Linked DNA regions of Oryctolagus cuniculus. The protein of the gene in region 2 interacts with the protein of the main gene of each other region in a pairwise test. Links are inferred from orthologs where the notes say so. Each region holds a gene or a part of one and is shown on either strand. Other genes may lie near its edges.

Region 1 (3,742 bases), on a different chromosome or scaffold from region 2:
CATTGCACAGTTCTCCAGATACAAACCTCGGCCATCACTGTCTATCCCATCACCTCATTTATTTTCTCTTTTACTTATCACACTCCATCACCTGGAAAGTGTTTCTGATTAGCTGATTGCAGCTGGCTTTTCCCATTAGAGCAGGGACCATATCTGTTTTATTCCTCATTCAATCCTCAGTGTTAGCTAAGGCATAGAATATAGAAGGAGATTGAAGACTATGAGACGGGTGGATAGGAGGAAAGCAGGGAGGGAGGGGAGATGGAGAGAAAGAGGGGTGGGAGACAGGCAGTCCGTCCTCCCCCTGCATGGCACCAGCCCCCTCCCCAGCTCCCCTGTCGTGTGCAGGCCTGGGCCGTGTACCAGGGCAAGCACCTGGAGGGCCCTGACCAGCACCCTCCACGAGGCAGACTCGGCTCCTCGGTGCTCTCAAGAGTGCCGACTTCCGGAGGCGCCCGAGTGCAGCCAGTGGGCATCTCTGTCCCCACAAGGCCTCCCACATTGTGTGTGACGCTGCCCGTGGCCCAGGTCCCATCCCGCCCCTGTAGGCAGTAGCTGAGGGCGGCTCTCTGGGCAGTAAGGACCTCACTTTGTCTACTTACAACAGGAAATGGTGGACTCGTTGAGCTTAAATCCACGGGCTGATAAATTCAGGGCCCTTAGACCATTTGTAAAGCAGGAAGCTAAGGCTCACTGACCCGTGGCCTTTCCTGAGGTCACACAGGGAGCTGGGGCACTCCTACTGGGGGTCAGCAGTCCCCAGGGTCTGTGCTGCTCCTCACACAAAAGGCACTTCCCTGATCCAGCCAGCAGCCCCGGGGACGTGACTGAGCCCCACCTGCAGGACAGACCAGGTCGGAGTGTCCTTCCAGTCCTAAGACTTGCCAGCTGTCACCTCCCACGCAAGCCACTCCCTGGCCCTACCCCTCCACCACTGATCCCGCCCCCATCAGCTCCCCCCCCCCCGCCAACTCTGCTCCCCCCTCCCACCTCTGCCACTTCCCCCCTGTGCCCATCACCCCATCACACTCAGCTCCCAGATGGCCCATGGGTCCGTCACTGTGCCCCCTGCCCCTTGCTCACCCCTGGCTCCAGCAGGCACTGCTTCCCTTACCCCATAGGCTCTGCCTCCCCCCACCTCTCCTCTCATCTGAGGTTTGCGGCTCAGTCTGTGGACCCGGCCATCAGTTCTGGTCCCTCCCACTGTCCCTGGGGCCCCTCCCACAGCTTTGTCCCCATCTCCATCATCACTAGATCCTTCTCCACATTCACCCTGCACTGTGCTTCCCAGTACGGCGACCATCACCTCCAACACTTCCCCCCCAATTTCTTTCCCTCCCCACTGGGGACAGTGTTGAGACCTGAAACTTCCCCAGCTGCGCTTCAGTGCGCCCAGACCCCTCCCTGCCCTGGGCGAGGCAGGGCGGGCCGGCGGGGACAGTCTGGGAACTCCTGCGGCCCCCAGGTCTCCTCTCACAGTCAGGATCCTCTGTCCCAGTGCTCACAGAGGGTGACAACAAGCAGCAGCCCCTCAGGCTGGCCCCGCAGGGCCCCTCCTGCCAGGCCCCCTGGCTGACCCAGCAAGGACGGCCCCACCCACCTGCCTCCTCCCCATTCTCCTGGATGGAGGTGGGGAGGAGTCAGGGGGAGGGGCCCTAACCGCTCCCCTACTTCCTGGGGTACCAGGCATGGGCCACCAGACACCCCTGTGGCGACCCTGGTGAGGCATCTAATGGCCCACCCTCCCCTCTGACAGCGGCTGAACTGGGGAGGGCTCAGAGTGGGGCAGCCGGCCTCCGTCTCCCATCCACATGCAGACCCCCTGGAACAACCCCTTAACAGCTAACCTTGGCAGAGGGCTTCGTGTATGGGAGGCATCCTTGGGAGTGCTCTCCAGGGCCGGTGAGGCTGCTTGTGGTTACCGCGCTGGACCACGGGTGGTTTATGTTGGAAGCTGTTATGTAGTGCTGCTGCTGTTGCTACTACTACTATTGCTACTACAAGAGTCACTGCCATCACTGATGGGGAGGGCGAGGAGGACCTGTGGGTCGCCTGACCCGTGGTGGAGGGGGTGAGGAAGGGAAACCTCGCCAAGGTGGCCGCCCTCCTTCCTCGCCCCGCAGATGGCTGGCTGCCCTTGCGGCTCCGCCGAGCGCTGCCTTCTGAGTCCGCTGGGGCCGCCACCACGCGCTGCGTAGGTCCGCTTTGGCAGCCGCTGTTCCGTGCGCACCTGCCACGGCACCTGTGGCCGCACCTGAAGTGCGGGGTGCTGCCGTGGGTGGCGCCCGAGGGTCCGTTCGCCACGCGCCTGTGCCAAGGCAGCGTGTACTGGCGCGGCCCGCTTGTCCTGCACGGAGCGCAGCGCAACGAGCTGGAGCGCGCGTGCGGCCCGCCAACTGCCCGGCCCGCGCTGCTGTCCCAGCGGGGAGGGCGCGGCCGTGCGGTGGCGGGCGCCGCGGGCGCAGGGGAATGAGCTCGAAGGTGCTGGGTATGGGGTGGGCATCGAAACAAAGGACATGGCCCGGAAGCACGGGGAGTGGGAAACAATGTGGGCCCCCAGAGGTCGGGCACAGCTCCGGAGGTCGGCAGGCGGGGGTGGGCACAGAAAGGCGGGGCAGAAGCCCGGGACCTGGGTACCCGTGTGGGCGCAGGGGCGCCCTGCAGGGTGCTGGGCACGAGATCAGCACAAGGCAATGGGAGTGGGCATAGGGGACATGCGCTCGGATCGATCAGCACAGACGTGGGACACCAGCCAGACGTGGAGACAGGGAACTGGGCCTGGCGCAGGAAGGGGCGTGAGCACGGGCCGGGCTCCAGGCGTGTGGGGGTGACCGGTAGTTGACCCAGCCCGCACGCGTCACTGCCCGCAGAACTGCGAGCCCACCTGCAGGATGGCCACCCAGGGCCCGAGGCCAGACGGCGGCCCGCTGAGCGCAGCCCTCCGCCCAAGCCGGGAGCCACGCCCCCGTCCTCGCTCCTCGGCCCCGGGCGCCGCCCCTGGGCAACCTTTGGTTTCTGCGGGCCTGCCTGGACAATGGGCCGTGGCTAAGGCTAGAACTGCCGCGGCCCTCCCTGCTCCTGGCAGGCCGAGCCGGGGCCCCACCCCAGCACCCCACCTCCCGGCGCGGCTGTCAGCGGCGCCCCGGCCGCTGCAGCCTCTCCTACCTGCGCCCGGGGCTCGGGGCTCCCCGTACTGGTGGCTAGGGCCGCCGGGGGAGGAGGCCAGCGGAAGTGGACGGTGGCCCTCGGCCTCCCGGGCGGGCGCAGGGACGGAGCTGCCCGTGAGGCCCCAGATGCGCGGCAAGTGGGAAACAAGACTTGGGCTCTCGCTCAGGCCCAGCGTGCCACCGGCGCCTCACTTCCTGCCGGCCTCAACCAGCCACGGAGTTCGTCAGGGCATTGCTTACAGCTGGGCTGGATCCCAGGACTGGATCCACAGGGTTCACAGCGCGGCCCGTCGGTGACAAAATTCCCAGGCCGCAGACAGGCTCGGCGTTTGCAGACCCTTAAATAGAGAACTCAGCCCGAACCCCGGGCACAGGACGCTGGCCAGGGAGCCAGCAGCGGCTGCAGGCGCTGTCTTTGTTAGAGCCGAGGCCGGCTCCAGCGCAGGGGCCACGGAGGGAGGGCAGCCCGTGCCGCCCGGCTGTGAGCGTCAGGGATCCCGCGGTAAGCAGGAGAGGGCACCTACACCGCCCCCTGCCGGCCAGTAGAGAAACTGCGCTCCACCGCGGGTCAGAGC
Region 2 (3,742 bases):
TGCCAAAGCTTTCTGAAAACAAACCGCTGCTCCTCTGGGTGGGCAGGCAAAGCGGCCAGTGCAGTGGGATTTTGTGCAATGCTAAGCTCACTGAATGGCACCCACCAAATGCCATATTTATTTAACTTGTGGCTTTCAGGGTTAGGAAAAAAAAGGGGAGGGGGAGAAAGAGAGAGGAGGTTAGTGTTTCAAAACCAGAATGTCAACCATAAACCCTCTCTGGTCAGGGTGTATCCGCAGTGTATACTCTCGCTTCTTATACAACCTGGGTTCTGAAACCTTCCTACCTCCTGTCTTATTTTTTAAGTAACAAGCGTTTTGCTAAAAAGACCTACACCTGGAGGAGCCCACGCCTTTCCCACCCGGAAAGGAACGCTGCTGGGGAAACTAGAAGCAATGCCTGCGACTTGGATGGCCTCTGATCACAGGGACCCACAACCTCGCGATAACCGAGCCCATCCAGGCAAATCCTGGCGGCAGTTCACCTGGCATGGGTCAAGAGAAAAATCTGACTTCTGTCGTCCATTCGATTTTAAGTTAATTGGATATGGTTTTCGAGACACCTGAGCCCATTTTGCTACTACCAAAAGAAAAAGAAAAAAATCTGCAGTCTGATGAACTTTCTCTTAACTACAAGTTTCCTCAACTGGTTAACAGAGAAAGATTGTTTCACAAGATACACTCTCACACTTAGGAGCGGCCAGATTGCCACTCTAAGTGGAACAGAAAGGTTTCTGAAGCAATGATTCTCTTGACGGGTTAAGTGAATTAGCTGCACATGCCAATTCCTGAAAATGCAAATTTGCCATCATTTTTCAGTTTTTAAAGGACAGGGAAAATAAACTAAACAGTAGAGAAGCCAGAAAGTGGAATTTGGAATTCCAGCCTTGGTGTCTTTTTAAAAGCACTGTCACGAGTAGTCCTACATTTGCAGGCACCAAACAAGAAGGGGCAAACAGCTTTTCAAAATAAAGCTTTGTCATAAAACAGGCGATTTCCTCCAGGAGCCAATTCTCAGCTTACTAACTCACCCAGGTGACAACGCTGCTCCACGGCGCTACCTTTTGCATTGTTTTGCATGGTCTTCGCCTGTCTCTCCTATTTAATTAAATAGCTCCAATTTTACACGTGGACGACTTAAAAGGGCTGAGGGATTCCTGCACGAGGTCCACTTCCAACTCTCGGGCCCGGCGCTGCGGCACCGCCTCGCCGCCCGCGCGCACCGCACGCTCTCTGGCTCCCGCACACACGCGCGCGAGCTCTTGGCGGAAGGCTGAGAGCCCCAACTTCGAGGGAACTCAGCAAGTGAGCGGAGGCACTGTTTCTGGGGCTGCGGGAACAGTCATTTGAGAAACCCCACAATCATCCCCTAACTACGGAGTTCTGGAACGTGCGTCCCGCACACCCCTTCCCCACACTTCCTCGGCTTCGCGTTTGCCAAAGGCAAGTGCCCCCCAACTGCAAGCTGTCTCCCCTCCAGGATCCCGGACGCACAACCCAAATCAAAGTCCTACCGCAGCGTCCTGGCCAGCATTCCGGGAGCGACGCTTTCGGCCCCTCTCATTCTGCTCCCCACATCCACACCCCGCCCCCGAAGTCTACCACAGCCCGGGGTTCGGGGGTTCCCGCCTCGCGGGCGGCGAGTTATCGATGAATCCACACACGCCCCGGCTCCGGAGAGACTTGGCCAAGAACTTTTCACACCGGCGCCAGCGCCAGCCCCTAACAGAGCTTCTCCCCAACTCCTTCCCAAAGCCGCCCGCACGCACGCACACAGACACACGCACTCCCTCCCGCCGGCTTCCAGCCCCTGGCGCTCAGAGAAGCCCTGACCCTCGGGTCCCAGTAACCTGAGGTCACCCAGGAGTCAGCTCTCGATTCCGCTTTTAAAATCCCGGGCACACAAAGCCGAGCATTCTACTTGGAGGGTGTCTCCGCAAAGTTCTGCAAGTCACGCAGCGCAGGGTGCGCGGACACCCCCAGAACCCGCGCCCTGGAGACGCACCCAGCCGGGGCCACGGCGCGCCGGCCCCCGGACGCGCCCCGCCGCCCGCCCGGGCCACCGCTACCTCTTCCTCCTGGAGGTTGGCCTCGCTCGGGGTGTTCTCCTTCTCGGCTTTGCCGCCGTTGTTCATCTTCCCGGTCCTTCGTCGCCGGGCAGGGCTGGGGCGCGGGGCTGGGCGAGGGCGCGCTCGCCCGCTTCTGCCTTCCCCGGGGCGCCGGGGCTGCCTCGGGCGGGCGCCGCGGGGCTGCGAAGGCTCGGGCTGGGCTCCCGCGGCGCGCAGACGACGGCGGCGGGCGACTCGGGGAGGAAGTGCGGGCAGGGCGCGGGCGCGGGCCGGCCGAGCGGGGCGCGGAGACAATCGCGACCGGGAGGGAGACCTGGGGCGGGAGGGCGGGCGCGAGGGAAGGAAGGAAGGGAGGGAGGGAGGAAGAGAGGATGGGGCGAGGGCGCGCGTCCCAGGAGTGAGCGCGGAGAGCTGGGGCTGGGGGCTGCCGCTGCCGGAGCAGAGCGAGGCTGGAAGGAAGGGATGGGGCGGCCGGAGAGGAGGAGGAGGAGGAGGAGGCGCCGGCCGCGGCTGGGACGCTGGGACGCGGAGAGCCGCTGGCTGCGCGCTCCTGGCCGGCTTTGGGAAGTCCGAGTCCGCTGCAGCTCCTTTCTCTCGCCTCCCTCCCTCCCCTCTCCGCTCTCCCCTCCCTCTCCGCCTCCCTCCGCCCTCCCTGGACGTGGGCTGCCGCCGTCAGCCCGCAGGGACGGGACGGGGGCCGCCGAAGCCCCCCGGCGGGAGGAGGGGCCGCGGAGTCGGCGCGGCCCGGGCCGGATGGCGCGCGCCGGGGAGGGGCGGCGGCGCGGAGCGGAAGCGGCCGACCCCGGCCCCGGCTCGACGGCAGAGCGAGGGCCGGGCGGGCTGAGCAAGGGAGGCTGGAGAGCCGGGTCCCCGGGCGCACGCGGCGTCCCCCGCGCCCCGGCTCGGAGAGGGGGCTTCGGGGAGCCGGGCCCTGGCCGTGCGCGGACCGGGGGCTGGGATGTGCCACTTTTGTTTGCCTGCTTTCCACGAGGGAGCTGCGCGCCCCCGGGCTCCTCGCCGGTAGGGGCTGAGACGCGGGTCGCGCCCTCGGGGCGAGGGCTTGGAGGCCCGGGACGGAGGAACGCCGGGGACAGCCGGGCCCCCGTGAGCCCCCCGCGAGCCCCCCGCCGGCCCGCTCTGGAGTTGATTGTTCACCTGGCCTCTCTTTGGGGAGCGCCTTCCTGGCAAAGGAGACCGAGCCCTGTTTATCCGGCTAATCCCGCGGCTGTTTAAATGAGCCCCCCGGCACACAGTGGGCACTTTTCTAAACGAGTCTTGGCAGGCAGCCCTGGAGGGTCAAGGCATTCGGGCAAAGCGAGGCGCCCGCCTAGTGTTCCCGCCGCGCCTCTGGGGGACTGCCTACTTTATTTTCTCGTCCGTGAAATGGGTGCAGTTACCCCGGAGTGTGGGGGGCACGCCTCACACCCTCCTGCCCGCTGTAGGCTTACAACATGGATGCTAACATCATTATGAAGAAAATTTCCATTTCTTCTGGGCCTGGAGCCTTTTGTCTTATGGGTCCAGTTATGCGTCTAAACTTGACTGCTACAAATGTATAACCTTACAACTCGCAACTAGTTCGTTCAGCGCCGCCTCCCGCTCCCAGGAATTCCTTCCTGCACAGCACCTATCACAGTTTCTATTTATTGACTGGCCTGCCCTTTATCTTGCCT

What was found. The genes of interacting proteins can lie anywhere in the genome.
Region 1: the proteins of RBPMS (region 2) and FOXS1 interact in a two-hybrid assay, tested with the Homo sapiens proteins (2 studies listed by BioGRID and IntAct). The link is inferred for Oryctolagus cuniculus from reciprocal best matches to the Homo sapiens genes RBPMS and FOXS1.

The regions. Positions count from the first base shown.
Region 1 is NC_091442.1:25,886,222-25,889,963, forward strand, and holds the start of FOXS1 (forkhead box protein S1), read left to right. Parts: upstream 1-1,227; 5' UTR 1,228-3,742. UniProt on the Homo sapiens protein: Transcriptional repressor that suppresses transcription from the FASLG, FOXO3 and FOXO4 promoters. May have a role in the organization of the testicular vasculature.
Region 2 is NC_091433.1:80,425,849-80,429,590, reverse strand, and holds the start of RBPMS (RNA-binding protein with multiple splicing), read right to left. Parts: upstream 2,418-3,742; 5' UTR 2,136-2,417; coding exon 2,070-2,135; intron 1-2,069. Other genes in the region: collagen alpha-2(I) chain-like, read left to right, coding at 2,532-3,302.